Linked DNA regions of Macaca fascicularis. The protein of the gene in region 3 binds, or shares a complex with, the protein of the main gene of each other region. Links are inferred from orthologs where the notes say so. Each region holds a gene or a part of one and is shown on either strand. Other genes may lie near its edges.

The links.
Region 1: TAF1C (region 3) and RRN3 share a complex: the UniProt entries of both Homo sapiens proteins name them as parts of the pol I pre-initiation complex. The link is inferred for Macaca fascicularis from reciprocal best matches to the Homo sapiens genes TAF1C and RRN3.
Region 2: TAF1C (region 3) and POLR2H share a complex: the UniProt entries of both Homo sapiens proteins name them as parts of the pol I pre-initiation complex. The link is inferred for Macaca fascicularis from reciprocal best matches to the Homo sapiens genes TAF1C and POLR2H.
Region 4: TAF1C (region 3) and TAF1D share a complex: the UniProt entries of both Homo sapiens proteins name them as parts of the transcription factor SL1/TIF-IB complex. The link is inferred for Macaca fascicularis from reciprocal best matches to the Homo sapiens genes TAF1C and TAF1D.
Region 5: TAF1C (region 3) and POLR1C share a complex: the UniProt entries of both Homo sapiens proteins name them as parts of the pol I pre-initiation complex. The link is inferred for Macaca fascicularis from reciprocal best matches to the Homo sapiens genes TAF1C and POLR1C.
Region 6: TAF1C (region 3) and POLR1H share a complex: the UniProt entries of both Homo sapiens proteins name them as parts of the pol I pre-initiation complex. The link is inferred for Macaca fascicularis from reciprocal best matches to the Homo sapiens genes TAF1C and POLR1H.
Region 7: TAF1C (region 3) and POLR1B share a complex: the UniProt entries of both Homo sapiens proteins name them as parts of the pol I pre-initiation complex. The link is inferred for Macaca fascicularis from reciprocal best matches to the Homo sapiens genes TAF1C and POLR1B.

Annotation. Positions count from the first base shown.
Region 1 is NC_088394.1:15,521,041-15,524,540, reverse strand, and holds part of RRN3 (RNA polymerase I-specific transcription initiation factor RRN3), read right to left. Parts: intron 2,829-3,500; coding exon 2,644-2,828; intron 883-2,643; coding exon 774-882; intron 1-773. UniProt on the Homo sapiens protein: Required for efficient transcription initiation by RNA polymerase I (Pol I). Required for the formation of the competent pre-initiation complex (PIC).
Region 2 is NC_088376.1:96,289,922-96,292,041, reverse strand, and holds the end of POLR2H (DNA-directed RNA polymerases I, II, and III subunit RPABC3), read right to left. Parts: intron 1,916-2,120; coding exon 1,832-1,915; intron 916-1,831; coding exon 798-915; 3' UTR 501-797; downstream 1-500. UniProt on the Homo sapiens protein: DNA-dependent RNA polymerase catalyzes the transcription of DNA into RNA using the four ribonucleoside triphosphates as substrates.
Region 3 is NC_088394.1:80,062,751-80,066,797, forward strand, and holds the start of TAF1C (TATA box-binding protein-associated factor RNA polymerase I subunit C), read right to left. Parts: upstream 2,801-4,047; 5' UTR 2,664-2,800; intron 2,311-2,663; 5' UTR 2,193-2,310; intron 1,663-2,192; exon of another isoform or gene 1,448-1,662; intron 1,348-1,447; exon of another isoform or gene 1,244-1,347; intron 830-1,243; 5' UTR 758-829; coding exon 620-757; intron 1-619. UniProt on the Homo sapiens protein: Component of the transcription factor SL1/TIF-IB complex, which is involved in the assembly of the PIC (pre-initiation complex) during RNA polymerase I-dependent transcription.
Region 4 is NC_088388.1:92,775,366-92,779,496, forward strand, and holds the start of TAF1D (TATA box-binding protein-associated factor RNA polymerase I subunit D), read right to left. Parts: upstream 2,801-4,131; 5' UTR 2,590-2,800; intron 1,862-2,589; exon of another isoform or gene 1,786-1,861; intron 635-1,785; 5' UTR 609-634; coding exon 541-608; intron 1-540. UniProt on the Homo sapiens protein: Component of the transcription factor SL1/TIF-IB complex, which is involved in the assembly of the PIC (preinitiation complex) during RNA polymerase I-dependent transcription.
Region 5 is NC_088378.1:128,000,112-128,003,611, forward strand, and holds part of POLR1C (DNA-directed RNA polymerases I and III subunit RPAC1), read right to left. Parts: intron 3,198-3,500; coding exon 3,078-3,197; intron 2,989-3,077; coding exon 2,836-2,988; intron 2,639-2,835; coding exon 2,489-2,638; intron 2,332-2,488; coding exon 2,215-2,331; intron 2,077-2,214; coding exon of another isoform or gene 1,958-2,076; exon of another isoform or gene 1,741-1,957; intron 919-1,740; exon of another isoform or gene 1-918. UniProt on the Homo sapiens protein: DNA-dependent RNA polymerase catalyzes the transcription of DNA into RNA using the four ribonucleoside triphosphates as substrates.
Region 6 is NC_088378.1:142,602,755-142,606,996, reverse strand, and holds the start of POLR1H (DNA-directed RNA polymerase I subunit RPA12), read left to right. Parts: upstream 1-1,442; 5' UTR 1,443-1,469; exon of another isoform or gene 1,470-1,478; intron 1,479-1,594; 5' UTR 1,595-1,604; coding exon 1,605-1,749; intron 1,750-1,995; coding exon 1,996-2,096; intron 2,097-2,303; coding exon 2,304-2,413; intron 2,414-4,242. UniProt on the Homo sapiens protein: Core component of RNA polymerase I (Pol I), a DNA-dependent RNA polymerase which synthesizes ribosomal RNA precursors using the four ribonucleoside triphosphates as substrates. Can mediate Pol I proofreading of the nascent RNA transcript.
Region 7 is NC_088387.1:19,552,894-19,556,393, reverse strand, and holds part of POLR1B (DNA-directed RNA polymerase I subunit RPA2), read right to left. Parts: intron 1,991-3,500; coding exon 1,819-1,990; intron 601-1,818; coding exon 319-600; intron 1-318. UniProt on the Homo sapiens protein: Catalytic core component of RNA polymerase I (Pol I), a DNA-dependent RNA polymerase which synthesizes ribosomal RNA precursors using the four ribonucleoside triphosphates as substrates.

The DNA.
Region 1 (3,500 bases), about 65 Mb from region 3:
ACAGGGTTTCATCCTACAGGGTTGAGGATCAAATGAGTTCTACGTAAAGTGCTGAGAACTGCCTGGCACAGAGGAAAGGCTATGAATTAACCATAGCTACCAGACCTGAGAGAACAGTACTCTCTAAACCAATCTCTTACTGGTCAACATTTGCCTCACGTCCAGTTTATTTCTGTTACTATTACAGGAGTCACTCTAATAAGCATCTATGGCTTTGCCCCTCTCAGCTTACTGGCTGCCTTACTTATTTCAAAGTGCCTAGGCTTCTGCTGAATTATGCCCTTTGGATAAGAAGTAGCAGCAATTTCCAATGCCATTAAAGTACAAAAACAATAGCTGTATTACAATATTTCCTGCAAGGACTGGGTTGTTTTTGTTTAAGAGACAGGGCCTCATTCTGGAGCCCAGACTGGAGTGCAGTGGTATAATCATGGCTCACGGCATCCTTGACCTCCTGGGATCAAGTGATCCTCCTACCTCAGTTTCCTGAGTAGTGGGGACTACAGGCACAGGCCACCACACCCAGCTAATTTTTTAAAATGTTTTGTAGAGACAGGGTCTCACGATGTTGCTCAGGCTGGTCTTTAACTTCTGGCCTCAAGCAATCCTCCCACCTCAGCCTCCCAAAATGTTGAGATTATAGGTGTCAGCCACCACGCCTGGCCTTTTATAATGTTACTAATTTCACAGAAATTTAACAGACTCTTACAATACTAGATAAACATAAATAAAAATATTTTAAATAACTCCCATCAAGAAAGTAAATAACTTACTTTGTGATTGCAGCAAAAAAGTTAACCACTGAGGGCAGGCAAACCTTCAGGGGATTTAGCTGGCTCATCACTATCCGCTCAAAATTCAGACTCTGAAGATACCGCAAACCTTTGGTTAAAAAAAAAAATTTTTTTAGAGGTACAAATGTAAGTGAAAAGTGTAAGATATCTTTAATAGCACAAATTATCACACATTAAAAAAAAAAACTTAATTATTTGCAGAAATGCTTTAAATAAAGGTCCATGCAGATAATCACACAGTGTATGGCCCAGAAGAGTATCACTAGGCTAACCACATTCATTGATCACCAAGGCAGCTTCTCTAAAGAAAACTCAGGAAGTAGCAGGCTGTAAGATTCCATGACAACTGGAAGTTCACACGTTTGTAAGCTCAGTATATGCTGAGTTAATACAGAGGGGAAAAACACCTTGTGATTTGGTTTCAGCTAACGATCATGACAGGCAACAAAACAAAACAACAATTTGATTCTAGCTTGCACGTCTCATTAGTGAAGCTGAGCGCTGTTTTCAGGTACACAGTAGTCATTTGTAGTTTTTTTTGTTTTTTTTTTTTTCCAAACAAGAGAACTCCAAATGTGCCTTCTACCTCAACAGAAGGCAAATTTAGACAGAAACCACTTTCTTAATGAATATAATTCTCTCCTACGTGAGTAAAAGAAAGACATCACATTTATTTTAACAGGCAAGCTGACCAACTTGTACTTAAGTGTATTTTCTCAGGAGTTTCTTTGATGCATATTTTGATAAAAATTACCTAAATGGGATGTCACAGCTTACAAAAACAAGATCTTCAATTCAGATTCCTGGCATTAATTTATACGAAGAAAAGCAGAGCTTATATTTACTAACCTTGTGATAAAACCTCATCCGACTAGTTCATACAACATCTTTTCAGAAGCATGTAGAATGTAGGTAAATATATATAATGCAACACATACAACTTTCAGTTTAGAGCTCTGGCTGTTAACCCAAGGAGACTATGTCCGCCGCAGAGGACACATGGCAATTTTGGGAGATAGTTTTAGTTGTCACAGCTGGGGGTGGTCGGGGACTGCTGTTGGCAGCTAGTAGGCAGAGGCTGTTAAACATCCTACAGTGCAGAGGACAACCCCCGACGATGAAGGATGATGCACCCAAATGTCAATCGTGTGAGGTTGAGGGACCTCGCTTGAGAGGAAGTGGCCCACAAAACCATGTGAATTATTCATAAACATAAACAGAACAATTTACAATGACTTATAAACACTGTTCTTGGAGACTCTCTTCAACTAAAATACACTAATCTAGTAAGTTCCAACTGACAGATTTGAATTATAAGTAACTATTAGAAATTAGCAAAGCAATACTGGTGAATTAAGTCTCAAGGCTTCAGGCAGAGTTTAATCTATATAAACCCAAACTTTAGGCTCAGCTGAACCTGCCTTCAGTTTTCTAATCCTGCCAATAACCATGTGATCTTGGGAAAATGACTCCCCTGTGCTTTGGTGCTGTCTGTAAAGGGAGAACACCTGCCATTTACTGGGCTGTTACAAGGACAACAAAGAGAAGGTGCATCCACCTGAAGCTTTGTACAGGGCGCTGGCACAGCCCAGGGCTCAGCCTCACCTCTGCAGACATCTTCACATTTTAAACCTTCAAAAGCAGAAACCTCTTTCTTAACCTCAAATCCATCTTAAGGGGTTTGCAGGGGCCTATGAGCTGCTTGAAATGATTATTAAAAGTTTGAGTGTACATGCAGTTTTCTGAATCCAGAGTTTTTAATAAAAATCTCAAAAAAGTAAAGAATCACCATTCTAAAGGGTGACAAGAACCCAAGGAAAATCCAGTCCCGCACTCCCACAACACCGACCTTCTTTCAGGTTTCCGCTCAAAAGCTGCTTGTGTCTGAAAACAAAGGTGTAGAACACAGCTTGGCAGGCTGAGTAAAATGGACCATGGAGAGCAACATCGCAGAATGCCTTTGTTCCTGAATCCTGGTTATTAAGGTATATGTGCAGCCAGTTAACCAAAAGATCTAGGCACGATTTTACAGTACTAGAGAAAAGAAAAATTCAAGTCAACTTCATATTTCATAAAAAAACCAGAAAACATAAAAACACACAACTGCCTTTCATTACAAACCACGCTAAGTTCATATGTTTCTTTAAATAATACCCATGGGCACAGAGGAAAAGCAAAGAAAGGAAGGATATGGATGGGTGCGTAGGAAGACAAGCTTCCAATTACAAGGCAGAGCAGCTCTGACCTTCTAGGAACAGGTGAGCCCCTAAGGACGTCCCAAGGGATGGAAAGCAGGTTCTCCTAACCATCTCAAAGGCACCCTCTTAGGGTGACTGGCCAAACAGGACACGTTCACCAACATCTCCCAAAAGAAAGACAGTCTGGTGGACTTCAGTATTCCCTGATGCATCCTAGTCAAGTCCTATGGTCAATAATTTTGTGGTTGGGGAAGGGTTTCAACAGCATCCTTGTCCAAAGATATCTTCATGGGCCACTGGAAGAAACTGGCCTTCTAGATAGGTCTATTACCTTTAAAAGGGTTTTTCTTCAGCTTTAACAGATACAATAGATTCAGAACGCAAATGAAAAAATGATAAACCTACAAAAAGAATCAAAACAGTATACAACACTGTTCTCTATCCACAAAAACAAACGGATCTTTAAGTGCAACCACACAGAAGAGATGACAAAAGCCTTACATACGGG
Region 2 (2,120 bases), on a different chromosome or scaffold from region 3:
TATTGCTGCCCTGTCCACTTCCACTTACCCTCCCTCCCACTGGAATGTAGAGAGCCAGCTCCTCCAGCTGCTTCCAGAACCACCAAGTCCTCTCCTCCTACTCTCTTCATAGTCATCTCCCATGCCTAAAAGGCTAAAAGCCTCTGTGCACATCTTCCATAAAAATAATGAACATTTCTAGACTATGCAAGCGACTCAATCAAGTCAGCGTGAACTGACTTCCTAAGAGCCTGAAAGTGCTGGAAGGACCCGAGCAGGGCTCCTTGCCAATTCAAAATTCCGCGCCAAATGGGTGGTATCTTCTGGGCCTGGGGTACCCTCAGGAGCCAAAAGTACAACACTCTCTCCCAAACGGAAAACCGCATTGGAGGATAAATGTTGAGAACAGTCAGCCAGGAGACTGAGATAACCCTGAACCCAGATACCAAAAGGCTGGAATAGATCCTACATTGACAAGTGATCAGCTGGCTGTGGGCCAGAAACAGTACACCACAGACAAATTGCAAAAAAATGATTTTACAGTAAATGAACTTTTTACAAAAAGGGGAGGGGCAGTCTGAAAAAGTAAAGTTTAATTTAAAAATCATATACACAAAGCTTCTGATTCATTTGCAGCTTTCCCACTGTCTTTCACAGGCGAGTCAGTTTCCCTTTGAGTGCAGGCCAGTTAAAGATGCCACCACAGTGGACAGTGAGCCAGCCCCTCCTCAACAGGTGAGCAAGACTGGCTGCCACTCAGGCTTGAACAATGCCGATGACCTGAGTGACTAGGCAGCAAGGCTGGCTTCTGGCGAGGTTCAGAAGGCTAGCTTCTTCATCAGGAGATAAACTCTGGAATCCACCTCGAATCCATGCAGGTTGTTGGCATCCCCCTGCAGCCTCATGAGCAGGCCCCCATAGGACACATAGGCAGAGCTGAAACAGAAGGCCCCATCCCATGAGTCTGGAGCACTGCTACTCAGCAGCTCTCCATCTCAGCCTAAGAAAAAGAAGAGGCATCTTTCTACTGTTTTGTCACTAGGAACCAAAATTCTGACAAAGATCAAGATATGTGCAAGGCACTGTTCTTTATATTAGCGAAGGTGGAAAACACCTATATGCCCCAAATCAGGGGAATGGTCAAATGAATCAAGATGTATCCACTTACTGAAATGTTATGCAACTATTAAAACATTTAAGAAAAGCTTCACACTAACATGGGGAAACATATTTTACATAATGTTAAGCAAAAAGAGCAGAAGAAAACATAATAAACACCACAGTCTCAAAGGAAAAAACAGAACACCAGGATATGCAAAAAAGTCTATGTAAAAGGTTATCTCTGGGTATGGAATTACAGGTGACTTTTTTTTTTCCTTCTTCACATTACTCTTCTGCATTTCAAATTGCTTACAAAAAGCACATATTGTTTTAATAAGATTTTAAAGAAAAGAAAAAATAGCTGGACAGGAAAACCAAGGAACTAGGGATTGGGTTACAGAGTAGCAAAACACACACACACACACACACACACACACACACACACACACACACACACACACAGCCTAATAGGATAATCACTTAATGCTGCATTTGTTTCTGGAGAAGCAAGTCTCCTTTGCACTTTACACAGTAAGATAACCAGTTTCTCATCTGGACTGCTGGGCCAGGAGGGCCTGACAAAGAGCAGTCTACCTTTCAGACTGGAAACTGCTCTCAGAACCATTTCTTTCTAGTTCCTACCTAGGTCTGAGGTGCCTGAGGAGAGGGACCCAACAGAGGAAGCAGGAGCATAGCTCAAAGTCTCAGAACACAGAGAGGGAAAAGAACCTCATAAGATTATGTAACTTACAGGCGTGTTGCTGCTTCAGTAGAAGTTTCGTCTCCCTCAATCCTGTACACTTTTCCATACATTACATATTCAAATTGGTCAGCCCTGTGGAGCAATAGCAGCAAAGTTATTCTTAACAGTAATTAACAATATAAAAAATCCCATTTAAAAATGGTTACTGGTCGGCTGGGCGCGGTGTATCAAGCCTGTAATCCCAGCACTTTGGGAGGCTGAGGCGGGCAGATCACGAAGTCAGGAAATCGAGACCATCCTGGCTAACACAGTGAAACCCCATCTCTACTAAAAATAT
Region 3 (4,047 bases):
AGACTCCTCGAGGAGCCCCAATTTCATGTCAGACCTTCCCTCATAAGGAAGCCATCCCTGACCCCTGTTCCCCAAGCCCCAACTCCACTCTCTTTTTATTTGCTCATCCATTTGCCTCTGCCAGGCCTCATTCCTAGACAGGGTGTTTCCAAGGGGAACTAGGGGGCTGAGGATTCTAAGCAAAGGGCCAGTGTCCCTCCAGAGGCACCAGAAACCCTGGCAGGTCTATCCTCCCCTCTCCCAATCCTACTACGCTGTTTCAGCATCCTTCTGGTTTCATTCCAAGCTCTGATCACATTTTGTAAACACCTTATCCGTTGGATAAAGTTCACTTGTTTATTCTCGCTCAACTCAGCTCTCCGTTCCAGGAAGGAAGGGGTCAACCGACTGATTCAGGCAGCATTTCCAGGGTCTCACATGGCATCTGGCATAGTGGGGGCATCCGTCTAGGGATGGCAGGGTAGCCCACGTGCCCCAGAGGAGGTGGCACAGCCTGTGTCTCAGCAGACTTGTGTGAATGGCACCCCACTCTGTGGCCTTTCAACCGGTATGAATGTGAGACAGGGGACCCAGGAAGGGGTGCCCCTGGAGCTGCCAGGGCCCCTGCCTCCATCCTCACCTCTGAGTTCTGGGGCTGGGTCTCCGGCAGAGTCAGCGCATGTTGCCAGCTGCACGTGAAAGAGAGGTCAGCGATGTCGCTCAGACCAAGGGGTCCAGTCATGAACAACGCGGGGCGGAGGGAGTGGGGGAAGTCCATCCCGGAAATAAGGACCAAGCACCACACTGGCCACCTCGAGAGACTGGAAGCTGGTAAGGGGCGCCAGGGTTCCTGCGGAGAGAAAAGTGCATGATGGGAAGCACATGCTCTTTGAGGAAGCAGGTAACAAAAAACAAATATGTAGCCCAATGCCAAGCAGTAATGAGAACTGCATTAAAGCAAACCACCCGTCCAGGAGAAGGGGATCTGGTAATGGGCTGAGGGCACGGTTTCAGCAAAGCCAGCCAGGAAAAGCCTCGTTGAGAAGGTGGCGTTTGAGCACAGCCTGAACCCAGTGAAGGAGAGAACCACGTACACAAATGGGGAGAGGGTTCCAGGCAAAACGATCAACAACTGGGAAAATCCTAGAGCAGTGAAGTGTGTGAGAAACGAGGCAGCCAGAGTGAGCGAGGTGGAGAGCGGTAGAGATGGAGTCAGATAGACGGCAAGGGGCAGCCTCTCTCACAGCTCAAAACGTCATCATACATTTACAGACTACACCCCCAAGACGCTGGAGTTACTCCACAGCCACGGACTGCATCTCAGCATTGTCTTCCTACTGTCAACCACAGTGCCTCCCAGAAAATGCACTACGGGTTGAATAAAAATAAATTTCTATCACAAGAGGCCGGGCACGGTGGCTCATGCCGGTAATCCTAGCACTTTGGGAGGCCAAGGCGGGTGGATCACCTGAGGTCGGGAGTTCGAGACTGGCCTGACCAACATGGAGTAACCTGGTCTCTACTAAAAATACAAAATTAGCCAGGAGTGGTGACGCATGCCTGTAATCCCAGTTACTCGGGAGGCTGAGGCAGGAGATTTCCTTGAAGCCGGGAGGCGGAAGTTGCAGTGAGCTGAGATCGCGCCATTGCACTGCAGCCTGGGCAACAAGAGCGAAACTCCATCTCGAGAAAAAAAAATTATATCACAAGGCTTTGGTAAATACAGTCCTCTAGAAGTATGAGCAGCCATAGCATCCCTCCTTTTTAATTAACAAAACAAAACAGGGGCAAAAATAACAGCAGCTCTCACTGACCAAGCGCCAGCATCTATCTGCCAGGCGCAAGCTAAATGCTGCACTCTTCTACCGCAGCCCCTGTCACGGAGTTCAGGAAACCAAGGCTCAGCAAGAACTTTAGTTCAACAGCTCTTAGCTGCCACATCCAAGACTTGATTCCCATCCGATTCAGAGGCAGAGCTCTGAACCACTGCTCTCGCATGCACCCAAATGCAAACGCTAGCATTAAGAGTCTCGCGAAACAAAAATCTTTTCCCTTCGGCCGAGTGCGGTGGCTCCCGCCTGTAATCCCCGCACTTGGAGAGGCCAAGGCGGGTGGATCACCTGAGGCCAGAAGTTTGAGACCAGCCCGGCCAATATAGTAAAACCTTGTCTCTACTAAAAATACAAAAATTAGCAGGGCGTGGTGGTGCACACCTGTAATCGCAGCTACTGAGGAGGCTGGGGCACGAGAATCGCTTGAATCTGGGAGGTAGAGGTTGCAGTGAGCTGGGATCATGCCACAGCACTCCAGTCTGGGCGACAGAGCAAGACTCTATCTCAAAAATAAAATAGAAACAAAAATATTTTCTCTTGGAACCGCATAGCCTGAAACGATCCTAGGCAGGCGGAGAGGGCTGGTGGAGCGCACGACCCCACAGAAGCCCTCAGACAAGGCAGCCTCGACATCCCCGGCCGGCTTCCCGCCCTCGCTGCGGGCTCTCCAGGCCCCTTTAGACCTCCCAGGCTACAGGACTCAGTCGGGTCCGCACTAACGACAGGCCGGGGACTGCGAAACGTGAGCCAGCCGCGGGGACGGGGGATTGAGGGAGTCCCTCCCCTCCTACATCTGCGGGTCCACTCCTCTCGAACATGCCCAGTCCGCGCGGAGGGGGCGCATGCACTTACGTGACCCCGGTCTCGTCGTGGTCGTCTGGAAAATGGGCTTCGGCGTGATGCTCGCCGGACCCTGACACCACGAGGGAAATATTAAGCAGAACCCCAGCTTTGGCACTCAGGATGGGTCAGCCCCGCCGCAGCTACTCACGGTCTTCCGGTTTGGACCGGAAGTGCCTGCTGGTGAGGCAGGAAGTCCCACCTCCCAGCCAGGCCTCTTAGGGTCCTGGCGCGCCCCCTCCCGGGAGGAGAGGGAACGGGCGTGCAGGCGGCGCGTGGGCTGCGGAAATAAAGCTCCCTCGAGTTCCAATAGTGGAGGCCGGGTGGACTTAGGTTCGAATCCCACATCTGCTTCATCAATTTCCTCAGCGTTGTATTAAATTAATCATTTAACGAACTCTCACGGAGCACCTACTATAAGCCAGACACTGTATTAGTCAGTAGGTATCCTACTGATTGTCCTTAAATCCCAAGAAGCGGGCTTCACAAATAAGGGTACAAATACCTCCTAAGAGTGAGGCTTTTCCAGGGGTGGTCGTGCAGGGAGAGCTTTAGGCAGTGGTCCTCAAACTCTAGCTAGTGTGCGTCAGCATTAGCACCTGGGGGGCTTGTTAAAACACAGTCTCCAATTCGGTGAGTCTGGGGTGGGGCCTGATAATTTGCCTAAGTTCCCAGGTGATGCTGATACTGCATATCTGGGGCACATGCTGTAAGAACCGCTGTCCAGTCATAAACCTTACCATTATCCTAACATAGTAGTTCTCAAACTTGAGTGAGCCTTAGAACCACCTGGGGGACTTGTTATAAGTATGCTGGGCTCCACCCTACCTCTGCCCCCCGATTTGCTAATTCAGTAGGTCTGGGATGTGGCCCAAGAGTCTGCATTTCTAGCAAGTTCCCAGATGGTGCTGGTCCAGGGGCCATACTTTGAGAACCGTTGCTTCAAATAATCAATTTCCAAATTCTCAGCTGTCATCTGTATCTTTATTTATTTATTTTTTTGAGATGGAGGCTAGAGTGCAGAGGCGTGACCTCGGCTCACTGCAACCTCTGCCTCCTGGGTTCAAGCAATTCTCCTGCCTCAGCTTCCCGAGTGGCTGGGATTACAGGCCTGCAGCACCATGCCCGGCTAATTTTTGTATTTTTAGTAGAGGTGGGGTTTCACCATGTTGGTCAAGCTGCTCGAACTCCTGACCTCAAGTGGTCCGCCTGCCTTGGCCTCCCAAAGTGCTGGGATTACAGGATGAGCCACCGTGCCTGGCCTATATATTTTTTTTCTGGAAGTTTTTACCTGGACTAAAAGTGTCAGCAGGGCTGTGTTCCTTTTGGGAGGTTCTAAGGAAGAGTCCACTGTGTTGCCCTTTCTGGCTTCGGGAAGCTGCCTGTGTTCCTTGGC
Region 4 (4,131 bases), on a different chromosome or scaffold from region 3:
TGGTGCAATCACAGCTCACTGCAACCTCAAACTCCTGGAACTCCAGGGATGCTCCTGACTCAGCCTCCCAAGTAGCTAGCTAGGACTAATGGCATGCACCACTGTGCTCAGCTTAGCAAAAAACTATGTATCTTTTAAGATAACGTATGGCTCCACAAAGGCTGTATGGTGTATGAGCTCCACAAAGGCTGTATGGTTTGGTTCACTGCTAAGAGTGAGTAAAACAAACACAGCCTACCAGACAGAAACAGGAAGAGGTAGTCTGGAAGAGATGCTAATATGACCCAAAGAATACATTTTTTTCTTGAAGAATGTGTCCCATTATAATATATTCACATTTTGAATTTAAAGTATTTGCAATGCTATTATCAATCTACATTAACTAGATAAACCTGGAAGGTCAGTGAAATCTGGTTTTCCTTCTTTCCCAATTCCTGAAAATCATCTTTACTGTCACTCATTATATAAAATAATTTCTCATAATTCAGATACAATAAATATGATTGAATCCACTCAGTTCTCCAGTAAAAACCCACTTACCTTTGATTTGCAAGTTCCATAGCATCAGATGTCACATGGTCGGTAGAATCTATTCCTGATTTATCCATCAATTGCTTTGTTTTATAACAGTTTTCTGAAATTATGAAATTTAGTAAATGTGACAAAGCTTCCCTAAATATTGACACAGTATCTACTATAATATTCAACATGGTCAGACTATGCCACTGATTTTAGGCAAAATCATTTGCCGGGGTTAACCTTCTTATCCATTTCAGATCAATTTCTTTAAAAAGAAATCCAGAAATTCTATTCACAGGTTCTTTCAGTTTTTACCCTCTAAATGTATTCAATGGAACAAGATTCCAAAAAAGTACTGTCACTTCCAAAAAAAGCATCTTTCAATATAAGTAGAAAATACAGTTTTATCATTAGCCACTTACTAACGTGCAATTACCAATACAGTATTAATGTAAAATTAAAAACCATTTTCCAAGATCAAAGAGGGAATTCCTAAGGCAAAATGTGCCCTATATAAACCAGGAAAAGGATCTCCAATCAACAGACCCTGATCACCTCTCCATTATAATTCCTAGATTCTTCATTCCTAGATTCATTTAAGTAACTGAACTTTGTCATACTGTATCTTTGCCATTATTGGTGGAAACTGACAAGTTCTGAATTCTCAACCTTTTTCAATAAACTATCATAATTCTTTGTGTTTTCATCCCCATGGTAGAGTATACAACATGCCAAAAAAAGAAGAAAAAAAAGATTCCTTCTTGTGAGCTAAAAGAAAAAACAGGTTGGTCTGGGTGGCTCAGGCCTGTGTAACACAGCACTTTGGGAGGTCGAGGCGGGCGGATCGCTCGAGCCCAGGAGCTCAAGACCAACCTGGGCAACGTGGTGAAACTCCGTCTCTACAAAAAATACAAAAATTAGCCGGGCTAGTGGCGCGCGCCTGTGGTCAGGAGGCTGAGGTAGGTGAATACCTGAGCCTGGGAGGTGGAAGTTGTATGTAGTGAGCCTCAGCACACAAGGAGACCCTTGTCTCTACAAAAAATTCTTAAGATACTGGCTAGGTGTGGTGACCCGTGCCTGTGCTCCCAGCCACTCGGGAGGATCGCTTGAGCAGAGGTGGAGGTTGCAGTGAGCCGAGATTGCACCACTGCACCCCAGCCTGGACGACAGAACAAGACCCTGTCTCAGAAAAAAAAAAAAAAAAAAAAAAAAATAGGCATGGCAACAAAAATGAAGGATAACTACTTATTTCACTATTGTACTTGCCTTAGTCAATCTCTTGTCTCATTCTGTAGCTTCTTGGGACCTAACATGAGTCATTGCATATAAATCCTAGGATGAACTAGCAAAACATTTAAAATATAAAACGATAAGGTTACCAAGAGCTCAGATTTGTTAAATGCCCAATGGACCCCTGTGGTAATTTTCTGGTAGTACGTCTTATTAGCTTAAGTACAGGATTCTACGAAGTCATTATATATCGAATGCTCAAAAACGGAATTCAACAAAAATTTGGCCCCATGCATTAATGGTATACCTGTGGTTAATTTTTTTTTAAAGTAGGGATTATCAAAATAAAGCTAGCTCAAGAATCACTTTTTTCTTAGTGTTTAGAAGACACTCCTACTTGGGTGTCGATGCATCCGCTGGAATTCTGCAATTCTTAGAGGCCACGTGGGCAGAAAGCGGCGCTTTACCCGGAGCTAATTCTGTGACCACCAGCGCGTCTCTCCGGGCAGCGCCTAACCTCCAGGAAACCGGCGCTATCAATGGGTACCTCACATATGAAGGTTAAATCATTTAAATTACGTTAAGAAGGTTAAACTTGTCTGCAACACGTTTTAACACCTCCATCTCAAGATATAATGAAGCCCGCCCACACTACAACCACGTTTGTGGGCCTCATACCAGCCGCGTGGCGCGGAGTGGCCTGCAACCGTGATCCCTTCACCCTCTCGGCCCGACTTCCGAGGCTCAATCCTCCGGAACAACGCAGGGGCCGAAACCCCAGATATGCAATGCCTCCCCTGCCCAACAAGCCCAGACGGCCTTGCCCTCTTGGCAACCTACCTAAAACCGCCTCACACCGGCCCCAACCGCGCACTTGCTGCCCGTAACCCAGGCCTCGGGCCAAAACCTGCGACTGGCCTGGTGCGTGAGTCCTGGAGATTTGCACACACCACCCTCCCGATTTCAGTCCTCCAACTCCGGAAAACTAGCCGATGTCCTCCAACCGCGCGGAAGAAAAGGGTGGGATATCCCCGCGGCCCAAGTAATAGTCAGGCAGAAATCTCGCGATACAATTTAGCTCCCGGGAAGAAGGCGAGCGGTGGGAGGAGTCGCGACGCGGGGGCGCCATTTTTCTCGCCGCGCAGGGAGGAGCGACTAACGTGGGCGGAGCTGTAGCTCGCTTACTCTGAGGAGGCGGGGTTGGCGTAGGCGGAGATCGGGATTCTGGTGTTTTGCTTGCGTGACCGATTCGGTAAGTGGAATAGCCAAGAACATTTCGGCAAATAACAAAAAGAAAATGTGCGGCCAATTGTGAGTGGATGAGAACTGCGAGGAAACAGCCTCTCAGCCCGGGTCGTTTCCGGTGGTCTCGCGTTTGCTGAGCTGTCTCCCGGCTTTCTAAACCTGGTCCCGAGTATGTGGTGAGGGTGACGGGTGGGATGTGTGAATGAGTGTTTTGTCATCCTGTGTCTACTTTTGCCTTCAAAACCCTTGTGTGTGAAAATATTCGGGAAGGTTACTCGAAGTTTGTAACCTTTGTGCTGGACGCCAGTGTTATGCCGTAGCACGCCCAGGTCTCCTCCCCACCTTTGCACCTGTTTCGGGAGCTCACCCTTTCTGCCTCCCAGGAATTGGCTAACACGTCACAAGTGAGACCTGTGGAGGATTTCTTTTTCCTCAGTTTCCTCCTACATCCCCCCCGCCCCCCACCATTAGTTCCTTGACCAGTTCCTGAGTTAAGATTAAGCTGTGTAAACTAGTTTAGTTTTGGTGGGGTTTTTTTCTTCGAAAGTTTTTTGTTTTTTTTTTTTGTTTTTCGGTTTTTTGGGGTTTTTTTGAGACCGAGTTTCGCTCTTGTTGCCCAGGCTGGAGTGCAATGGCGCGATCTTGGCTCACCGCAAGCTCCGCTTCCCGGGTTCAAGCGATTCTCCTGCCTCAGCCTCCCAAGTAGCTGAGATTACAGGCATGTGCCACCATGCCCTGCTAATTTTTTTGTACTTTTAGGAGACACGGGGTTTCTCCATGTTGGTCAGGCTGGTCTCGAACTCCTGACCTCAGGTGATCCACCCGCCTCGGCCTCCCAAAGTGCTGGGATTACAGGCGTGAGCCACCGGCCTCCCAAAGAAATTTTTAAAAGGATTGAACTGGTTTGATTTTTCTGGTTTCAAACTTCTGTTTTCATATGATACACCGCAAAAACCAGTAAAGCTGTCTAATCTTATTTTATAGTTTACATCATTTTAGGATAGCGCGTGCCTTAAAAGTAATCTGGTCTCTTTACCCTCCTTTGCTCCATAGATTGGACAATTTCGGGGATAAAAAGTCTGACACTGCATTTGATCCACAGGGGCTGGGCAGTGACTAAGCTCCAGGACTGGTATG
Region 5 (3,500 bases), on a different chromosome or scaffold from region 3:
TGGCACAGTGTCAAGTATAGTACCTCCAAGGACCAGGGCTGGGCAGTCTTTAGTGCTAACATCCCCTTTAGAGCTCACACATCTTGCCCTTCCATGAATGACCCCTCAGTTTGGCTTCCCCAGCCTCAAGGTCCACTCAGGCACAAGAGCCACAGTACCCTAGAGAGTGTCACATGACACCATTGTCATCCAAGGATAAAACAGACCAACTAGGCTATATCTGTGATAAGCAGCTAGCAAAGCCACTGGTCTTCTAGGACTAAGACCAGGTGCCTTCCGCAATCTCATGGTCTTTCAGGTCCCTGGTTACTTTTCTCAAAGACCATCTCCAAAAGAAAAGAATACATGCCTTCGCATCACAACCTGTACTGTGAGTCCATTCTAGAGGTCACTGAAAGGCCCTATAAACAGGACTCGGATATGGGACCTGGCCCTGACATTATTACTGGCCATAAAGGCAGACTTAATCCATACAGAAACCAGTGTGTCCATGTGCTCTGCACAAAAACAGACCTGTTGTCCACCAATCCACTGACAAGAGGGTTTCCATGAGAGCCGAAGTGGACTGAAGCTATAGTTTTTAGCTGGTGTGGACCAGAGGCAGGGTCAGATTGGGAAGAGGCAAAGCTGAGGAAGCAGAAGTTGGAGTCTCATGTTGCTCCCTCTTCCCGTGTGGTGCTCTGGGTTCCTGTGGATTGTGAAGGCGATCTCAATAGTGTTTCCCTCCAAACCTGATAGCTGCCTATTCCTGTATGGTTGGGGCTGTGGAGGGTGTAGTTGTATTTATTGTGTTGTAATATTTTTAACATCCTGTGACTTCATGCTAGAAGTTTTCTATTGTTTATAGAAACTTTTTGTAGAAACATTAACTCCAAAGCACATCTGCATGTCAGTAAAAGTCTCAGTTTCATACAGAAAGGGACCCATCTGCCTTTTTCAACCTAGTCTTAAAACCAGTGACATACTCCAGAGTTACTCCATGAGCACCCTGCAAAAGGGGACTGAACAGGAAGAAATGTGACTGATGAACCTGGTCTTTCAAGCTTTCTGAAATGGTGTGCCAGTTAGAAAAGGATTTCTATCCTGACACACCCAGACTAGGCAGCCCATACCATTCTCACAGTGTCTTTCATATGTGGCTGCTGGGCCTGGCCCAAAGGAATTGCTACTGTTCTTTGTTGGAGCTGTCAATAGCGGCATGAACTTCCCTGGTAATCCGGGAGACAGGTGAAATGGTGCATTCACTCTAGCTTGAATGTTTTTCTAGGGGTTTGGCTGTACTCCCAGAAACCACCTTAATTTGCCAATTCTCAGGAGGTGTTTTTTGTTGTTTTTGAGACAGGGTCTCACTGTTACCCAGGCTGGAGTGTACATCTGATGTTCTTAATTGCTAAAGGTCAAACCAGTTCTGAAGTGAGGCCCTGTTTTTCGCAGTGGCTCACACCTGTAATCCCAACACTTTGGGAGGCCCCAAGGCAGACAGATCACTTGAGGTCAGGAGTTTGAGACCAGTCTGACCAATATGGTGAAACCCTCTCTCTACTAAAAATACAAAAAATTACACATAGCCAGGCGTGGTGGTACACACCTGTAGTCCCAGCTACTCAGGAGGCTGAGGCAAGAGAATTGCTTGAACCCAGGAGGAGGAGGTTGCAGTGAGCAGAGATTGCACCATTGCACTCCAGCCTGGGCAACAGAGTGAGACTCTGTCTCAAAAAATATAAAAGTTGTCTCAAAAAGTTTTGTTTGGACATGAGTTTATTTACATCTAAGGCCTTACAAAGGCCTAAAAGTCTCATTTTATGGCACATTTAACAAAATGTATTGATTAAAAATAAAGCTGGAATTGTCCCAGAAAACTCAGGATCCCTAGTCACACTGGGCTCTCTGTACAGCAGTCCTGTAGGGTGGGTCAGTCAGAACCCAAAGCTTCAGCTTGCCTCAGGAACATCCAAGCTCAGTCCATCTGAACCGCATCTAGTTCATCCAAGAAGCGCCGGCACTTCCCCATCAGTACTTTGATGGCTTCACTCACCAGCACATCTGGTGGCAACACCCCCGTTGACTCAACAGAGACTGGGGATCAAAGAGACACTTTAGCCTAGGCGGGGCTTGCCTGTAGAAAGCCCCTGTTACTCAAACTTCACATCTAGACTGGAAGGAAGCTGCAGCACCAAAGAGTACTGCCCACTCATCTCACCACTTCATACTCACAGATATAATGATCTCGAACCCGGGCAAGCCTCACAACCTTCTTTAGCTTCTCATGCCGGAAGATTTCTCTGCTGAAGGTATCCAGCCGGGGGTTGGCAACTCTGGCCACCTTTTTACCTAATGAGAACAAACCACGTTTTTTTATTCTTTTTTCTAATTTGCCCCTTGGTAGCAAACCATGTTATACTTTTAGGAACCCAGGGTTTTTATTTCTGTCACCTTCAAAGAAAATATAATTTAGGTCCTAACCTGAACAGCACCCCAAATACCATACCTTGGACTTCCTGCACCTCAATAACACCAGGTGAGAAGCACCTGCTCAACTCCTCAGCTGCCTCCCCTTCCACGGGCTCAAGCAGGGTGATGTCTGGCAGGAGCCTATAACTGGCTGTTGCCACTGGTGAAAACTTGGCATGATCTTTGCCTGGAGAGGAAGAGAGAAAGTGCCTATACGAAACCCTTCTAGGATTAGGAAGAATACTCTTCCTAAGCTGCTAACAGCAAAAGCACGATGCTCTTGGCTTTCTACCTGCTAGGAATATCTCAGCTGAGTTCCCTAGTCAGCTTGCCCCACTGCAACCAAACTACCCCTCTTCCCAGGAAGGAACACAGGGTTCTCACCAATGCCCTTGACACAGTGCATAAGCAGGTCAATTTCTTGGCCAGGCCGCAGCTGAGCAATGAGGATGTCATCGTGCACTGGTCGGATAGTGCCCTCTGGGAAAAGATCAGCCTGATTCCCCAGGGGGATCCATGTCATATGCCTGGTATACACTGGAGGAAAAACATGTCAAAAGATTTCAGTTCCTAAAACTAGCAGCCACCCACAGGTGGGGCCTCTTCCTCACCCTACCACTACTTACCTTTGTGGTTCACATACAGTTCGTTGGGGTCAGAGGAATCTTTAGCAGCATGGGGGTTCCGAGTGCATCTGACTTGGAGACGAAACCGTAGGGTATCTATCTCTGTGCCGTCTTCATCTCCTGCACAAATGGAGGGAGCTCTTAAGAACTAGTAAACATCTGGCCGGGCGCGGTGGCTCAAGCCTGTAATCCCAGCACTTTGGGAGGCCGAGACGGGCAGATCACGAGGTCAGGAGTTCGAGACCATCCTGGCTAACACCGTGAAACCCCGTCTCTACTAAAAAATACAAAAACTAGCCGGGCGAGGTGGCGGGCGCCTGTAGTCCCGGCTACTCGGGAGGCTGAGGCAGGAGAATGGCGTAAAAACCCGGGAGGCAGAGCTTGCAGTGAGCTGAGATCCGGCCACTGCACTCCAGCCTGGGC
Region 6 (4,242 bases), on a different chromosome or scaffold from region 3:
AGTGTTTTTCAAATTAAAAAGAGAAAATTGAGAAGGGTAGAATTTCAAGTTCCATTTTCAAAGGAGACACACAGATAAGTGAGAATAAAAACTGTCTACGACAATCAGCTCAACAACACATCTCCCTTTGTCAGACAGAATAACAAGCAATTTCACAGTTAAGTGATAGGGCTTGTCACTCTTCAGCAGTTTGCTGAGTTTTAACCCTTTAACTATGGTGTTCTCTCCATTATCACAGAGAAAGGCAGATGGGAGCCTCTCCCAGCGAAAAGACTACAGCTTGTGTCCTTCACAGGACAAAATAGTGATGGCTCCAGAACTTTCATATGAAGGAACTTAGCACAGCTATCAGAGTGGGTGGTGGTGGGAGGACTAGCATGAAACTAGTAAACAACGACAAGCTGCCCCTTCAGGGAAAGTTTCTACTTCGAATATAAGTTACAGAGTAACGAAAATAGCAAGATTTCCGAAAGAAACTTATTCCCATGTTTTATAAAAGATCAGGGAAATGTCAGCTGTCCACTTAATGGATGACGAATAATGAATTAAGAGTTCGATAAGCGGCAGGCACAACTAAAAGCCAAACTCGACCTAAGTCTTATGAAATCCTACTTAATGAGCTTCTTGACTACTGCTAGCCTCACTTATCTGGCAGGAGTCGAAGGAGGGGAAGCCCCAAGCTCTTCTGTTCTACCACCTCCAAAGTCCTGAGCCCCTTCTCAAGTGTCCCACTTCATCCCTGCTTCCTTTCGTCCCGTGGGACTAAGGATTCCTCTGGCCTTCACCCTCACCACTTGCTGTCCCTCAAGAAGCCGACTCACCCCTTTCCAAGCGCGGTGAACCGTCCGCAAAGCACAGGCCGGCTGCGCTCTGCAGAAAGCCCACGCTCGCCAGCGGGACCCAAGGAACGCTAGAACTATACATGCCAGAACACTTAGCTTTGTTTTTAACTACTGTGCAGCCGCAAAAGGGAAATACCAGCTCAGGACCCAGGGGAGTTGTAGTTCTCTAATCCAAAGAAGTCATTATTCAGCAAAGTACGGTTTTCAGGAGGATATTCCCCCGCGATTGGGTTCCCGTAGGATGTGAAACAGAGAATAAATATCCCAGGATTCGGTGCTGGTGGGAAAATTTGCTGGAAGCGCAGCATTGGTTACCAATTTTGTGCTCAACGTCTCAGTACCAGCCTGAAAGTTGAGCCCCAACCTCCCTTAGAAGAGGTGACTCTCCATCTCTAAGGCTTCCGAGACACGGTTCGCAATTAATTATGACGTCACAGCCAATCGTCAGCGTGAAAGCGTGACGCTCTAGCCGGCTCTAGCTCGCTGCCCCGCCGCGGGCGCAGAGCTGGCGCTCTAGCCCACGGAGTTGGCCAGCTCCTCTCGCCGGCCCCAGGAAAGGGTTCCAAGTCCTTTTAGTACCCGACGCTGTCTGGGAGTTCCGGGCGTTTCGGCTCCTTGGTCGCAGAGGCAGGAGGCGTGCGTGGGAGGAGGACTCGGGTTATATACTCCTACGTCCTGGGACGGAATAGTTACCAACTCTGGGGCAGGAACTCTTCTCTCTTTTGTTAATAAACTTCTAACTCCCTCCTCAGACCCGACTGCATGTCTGTCATGGACCTCGCCGGTACTTGCTCCAGCTTTCAGTCGGACTTGGATTTCTGTTCAGATTGCGGCTCGGTCCTGCCTCTGCCCGGGGCTCAGGATACGGTCACCTGTACTCGCTGTGGCTTCAACATCAACGTTCGGGGTGAGAGGCTTGTACACAGGGGTCCTGGCGGAGGGCCCAGGATCGGAAGCTTGGGGAACTCAAGATAGGTTGGGTTCAGAAGGGGATCCTAGAGCAGGACATCAGGCAGTTGTACATTTGGTCCAGCGATGAAAACTGAGGGAAAGGATATAGGGCCTCCTGGCCTAACCAGCCAGGGGAGAGGGGAAGTTTCCGGTGTCAGCTCCCTCAGGTTGTCTCCATAACCAGTCTTACTTGCCTGTGCAGACTTTGAGGGGAAGGTTGTGAAGACTTCAGTTGTGTTCCACCAACTGGGGACAGCCATGCCTATGTCGGTGGAGGAAGGGCCTGAGTGCCAGGGACCTGTGGTAAGTTAATGAGATCAAGAACTGGCTCCATAAGGTGGGTAGGAAAGAAATGGAGGAGTGATTGCAGAGATCTGGAGAGTTTTGTGCCCAATTCCAAGTGGGAAAAGATGTAAAGCATCGATGTTTGAGAGGCGTGATCGCCTGGTTCCTGTGGGAAGTAAGGGTATGATATGACCAGGCCTCCATAACCCACCAGTTTCTTCCCAGGTTGACAGGCGCTGCCCTCGATGTGGTCATGAAGGAATGGCATACCACACCAGACAGATGCGTTCAGCCGATGAAGGGCAAACTGTCTTCTACACCTGTACCAACTGCAAGTGGGTATCCTTTCCCCTCCCTTTGCTCAGTCTGTTTGCTAACTAATAAACAAATCCAGTGATTTATTTTTTTGTACTAAACGGCTGTGTCCTTTCGTCCCATCCCTTATTTCTGTGCAGTTCTGGTAAGAGGGAGATTTGTAGTTTTTATTTTTTTAAATTACACTTTTTTAACCCTTTTTGTAACCAGTGAAATAAACCTTTTAGGTTTTTGTTTTGTTTTTTTTTTTTTTTTTTAAATGGACAGGGTGTTGCTCTGTCACCTAGCCTGGAGTGCAGTGAGGCAATCTTGGCTCACTGCAACCTCCGCCTCCTGGGCTCAGGTAATCCTCCCACCTCAGCCTCCAAAATAGCTTTGGGACCACAGGCACGTGCCACCACACCTGGCTTTTTGTTTTGTTTTGTTTTTTGTATTTTTAGTAGAGATAGGGTTTCTCTCTGTTTCCCAGGCTGGTCTTGAACTCCTGAGCTCAATCAACCCACCTCAGCATCCCAAAGTGCTGGGGATTACAGGCATGAGCCACCCTGCCTGACCTTCTTTTAGGATATTTAAAAGGAAATGAAGAAAAAAAACCATAAGAAGCAAGTATTGTTTAGTGGTCAGCGTCTTATACTGCAGTCTTCAACCGCAGTCAAGGTAGCTTTACTTTGGAGAGAATTAGTCACACATGATTTAGAGAACATGGGCTTTCTGAATGCTTTTAAGACCTCATCTTTGTCTTTGGTGTTCTGCAGTCACTATAGTATATCAAAATGTGATTTTCTTTTATTCTGTTTGGGATTTGTTGGACTTTCTGAAACTGAGAGTGCATTGTTGTTTTTTGTTTTGTTTTGTTTTTTTGAGACGGAGTCTCGCTCTGTCTCCCAGGCTGGAGTCCAGTGGTGTGTTCTCGGCTCACTGCAAGCTCCGCCTCCCGGGTTCACGCCATTCTCCTGCCTCAGCCTCCTGAATAGCTGGGACTACAGGTGCCCCCCACCACGCCCGGCTAATTTTTTGTGTTTTTTAGTAGAGACGAGATTTCACTGTGTTAGCCAGGATGATCTCGATCTCCTGACCTCGTGATCCACCCGCCTCGGCCTCCCCAAGTGCTGGGATTACAGGCGTGAGCCACTACGCCCAGCCTAGAGTGGATTTTTTTTTCATCAACCTTGGAAAATTATCAGCCATCATCTCTTTTAATATTCTCTTTCCCCCATGTTCTCAGTCCTCACATTCTGGACCTCTAATTAGTTACTAGAATGAGATTTCTCTCTTCTGTCCTCCATTTCTCTCGCCCTCTTTTCATATTTTCAATCGCTTTTCTCTTTATGCCACCTTCTGAGTAATTTCTTCAGGTTCCTCTTCCATGTCACTAGTTCTGTCTTCAGTTTATTTCAAATATTATTATTTTTTACTATTGTTATTATTTTGAGTTCTATTTAATTACTTTTCAAATCTCAATTTTTAAATAATTCTCAGTTCCTTAATCATATTTTAAATTGTTCCTTTTACTAGTCTTTAAATATATAAAATATTAAATATAGTTATTATATTCTATGTCTCATAATTCTGATATCCATGGATTTTGTGTGTCTGATGCTGCTGTCTGTTTCTGCTGTCTCTCTCATAGTGCTTTTTTCTTTGTTTTGTAATTTTTGACAATAAATTTGAGTTTTTTAGAACTTGAACTGTAGGAATTCTTTGAGGCCTTGGGTAAGTGCTGTATTCTCAGCATTTGTGTTTCTTTTCTAGGTGCCTTGAAGCACTATCAAGCTGGAATTACTTTAAATAAATTCTTGGCTTCATGTTTTTTGGAGCACACAGATAGTATGAATTTGAGCTGCAAATC
Region 7 (3,500 bases), on a different chromosome or scaffold from region 3:
AATCCCAGCACTTTGGGAGGCCGAGGCAGGCACATCACGAGGTCAGGAGATCGAGACCATCGTGGCTAACATGGTGAAACCCCGTCTCTACTACAAATACAAAAAAATTAGCTGGGCGTGGTGGCGGGTGCCTGTAGTCCCAGCTACTTGGGAGGCTGAGGCAGGAGAATGGCGTGAACCCAGGGGGCGGAGCTTGCAGTGAGCAGAGATCGTGCCACTACACTCCAGCATGGGCAACAGAGCGAGACTCCATCTCAAAAAAAACACAAAAAACAAAAAAAAAATCAAGCAAGATGTTTATCACTATACACTACATACCCAAGTTGCAGAGTAAAGCCGGAATAGATGCCGTATACACAAACTGTGTGACAACCTCACATACGGCAGTTAGGTGGTTCATCAGGCCACAGGGCTCCCCGTCTGGGGTATGCACTGGACAAAGGAAGCCCCAGGACTCTGGCAGCAGCCGGCGTACTGTGGTGGTCCTCATCTTGGCAAAATCAGCCCCTCTGTGCACGCAGCGGAAATGGGAGAGGTAGCGTATGAAGTTCAGCTTGTCAGCCACAACACAAAGTCCAGAATTTTGTAGGAGGCCAAGACCTTAATAAAACAAAAGTCACTCAAAAATGGGCCAATCTTTTAAAAAACGGAAATTTTTGAGGCTTTGTGACGACAAAACCTCAGAGCACTCTACAGATTACAGAATGAATTATTACAACATTTATTCTCCTAGCTCTGATGAGTGGAAAGAGTTCGCAAAAAATATGTAAAATAATCCCCAGATTTCACAAACTGTATGAGCCCCAACTAGTTCCCTATCTCCTCTATGACCTCCTTTGTAGGAGAACATTAAATGAGTTAATAAAATAGCAAGTAGTTAAATTCATCTGAGAGGGTCAGATAATAGACAAGCAAGTAAGAAGGCTAATGAAAGAATCGGCATCAGTAACAGGGGTTTTAAAAAAAAAAAAAAAAAAAGGCTGGGCACAGTGGCTAATGCTATAATCCCAGCACTTCAAGAGGGCGAGGTGGGTAGTTCGCCAGAGCTTAAGAGTTCCAGACCAGCCTTAGCAGCACAGCAAAACCCCATCTCTACAAAAAACACAAAAATTAGCCAGGTGTGGTGGCTTGTGCCTGTAGTCACAGCTACTAGTGGGGCTGAGGTGGGAGGATCACCTGAGCCCGGGAGGTCAAGGCTGCAGTGAGCCATGATTCTGCCACTGCACTCTAGACTGGGTGACACAGTGAGGCCCTGACTCACAAAAAAAGAAAAAAAAAAAATTTCTGGGTTCCCAATTACCACTTTTTAAGTTTCCAGGGTCATTCTCTTTTTTGCTGAGACAGGGTCTCACTCTGTCACCAGGCTGGAGTGCAGTGGTGCAATCACAGCTCACTGCAGCCTTGACCTCCTAGTCAAGCCACCCTCCTACCTTGGCCTCCCAAAGTGCTGGGATTACAGGCATGAGCCACCACACCTGGCCTCTCAGGTCACTCTGAGGCAAGGCAACTGGTTTAGAGATGGGCATGTACAGCAACCCATGCAGAATTCCTATTAGGTAAGCCTTCCTCAGAGGTCTAAGTGGTCTTTTCATTTTCTAGAAGGAGGCAGAGAAAATGTATTTGGTTATTTGAATTAAATTTTAGCTATACAGACACCTTGTCTAAAGTCCTTCAGATCAATAGTCATCAAAGTCATAGTTACGAGAAATTTACTTTTTTGGGGGGGTTTGCTTTTAAAAAGAACCTGTCAAGGACAGGCAAATCTACATTAAGCAAATAGTTTGAAAAACATAACTAAAATGCTCTATTTAATTTTACCTGTTTTAGAACGCAGATTCCCAGTAGCAAAAAGGTATTCAAATGGTTTTGTAAGGTCTATTCCCATAGTAAAAATCCTCATCAAATTGTCAGTGTTCATGGAAACATTGGTCTTCTGAGCCTTCTTATCAAAAGCTATTTTAATAGACACTAACCAACCTTCCAGTTTTTCCTGAAATAAGAAAAACAAAAAATTAATATAAAATAGTATGTGAGCTAGGTGTGGTGGCTCACATCTATAATCCCAGGATTGGGTGGATCGCTTGAGACCAAGAGTTCAACATGAGACTGGGCAAAATGGTGAAACAAAACCCTGTCTCTACAAAAAATTTAAAAATTCGCCAGAAGGGGGTGGGGTGAGGGGTGGGGCATGCCTGTAGTTCCAGCTACTTGGGAGGATGAGGCAGAAGGATCGCTTGAGTCCAGGAGCCTAAGGCTTCAGGGAGCCACGATTGTGCCACTGCACTCCAGCCTGGGAAACAGGGCAAGACCCTATTCTCAATAAAATAAAATTATTACAAACGTCATATTTATTCCCATGTAATCTGTACAACCTTTAACAAAGGTCCACTAACATACACTGGATATGGAATACAGCAAAACCAAAAACCTGAAGGAGAGCTTTTCAGGTGCAGAAAGGATAGCTCTTCAATGTCATGCCCTCCTTCACCCGTTATATTTGTTACACACCTAAAAGCAATCACACGAACTACACAGCCCATACCTGAAAGCAATCACACGAACTACACAGTCCACACCTAAAAGCAATCACACGAACTACACAGCCCATCTTAGTCTATGCTGCCAACACTCACTGAAATGGTTAAGGCAGCCTGCAATTGCAAAATTACAGCTAGACTGGAGGACTGAGTTCTGGTATTCTGCAGCACTGCAGGTTGAATAAGTTAACTATATTTGTTGTATATTTTCTCACTGCAGCCTCAACCTCCTAGGTTCAAGGGATCCTCCCGCCTCAACCTCCTGAGTAGGTGGGACCATAGGTATGTGCCACCATGCTCGGCTAATTTTTAAATTTTTTTTGTAGAGATGGGGGTCTCACTTTGTTGCCTAGGCTGGTCTCAAACTCCTGGGCTCAAGCAATCCTCTTGCCTCGGCTTCCAAAGTGTTGGGATTACAGGCGTGAGCCACCATGCCCAGCCTTATTGTTTATTTTCAAAAAGCTAGAAGAGGGGATTTTGAACGTCCACAACACAAAAAAAGATACATGTTTGAGGTGATGAATGTGTTAACTACTCTGATTTGATCATTATACATTATTTACATACATGGAAATATCACTGCATACCCCATAAATATGTAGTTATTGCATGTCAACTAAAAATAAAAGAAAAAAAGACTATACACCATCAGTGCTTCCTATGGGTGGTTCAGAAACCACTGAAAACACCTAAGAGAATGTTTGAAATACGTTCTCTCCTGTATTTGATATTTGGAAGAAAACCTGGAAGATGTACACAGGTCACTTAATCACGGTATACCTTTTCCAGCAGGCCCCCGAGTCAACACATTAGCCATTGACTCTTGATAACCCAGCTCTTTAAAGTACCAGTGTTTGAACACTCACGCTTGGAAGACCTAACTATTCTTCCAGAAGACAGCACTGGAAGTGCCACATGTCATTTCTGCATATTCTCTGGCACTGACACTGCATTTAATATCAC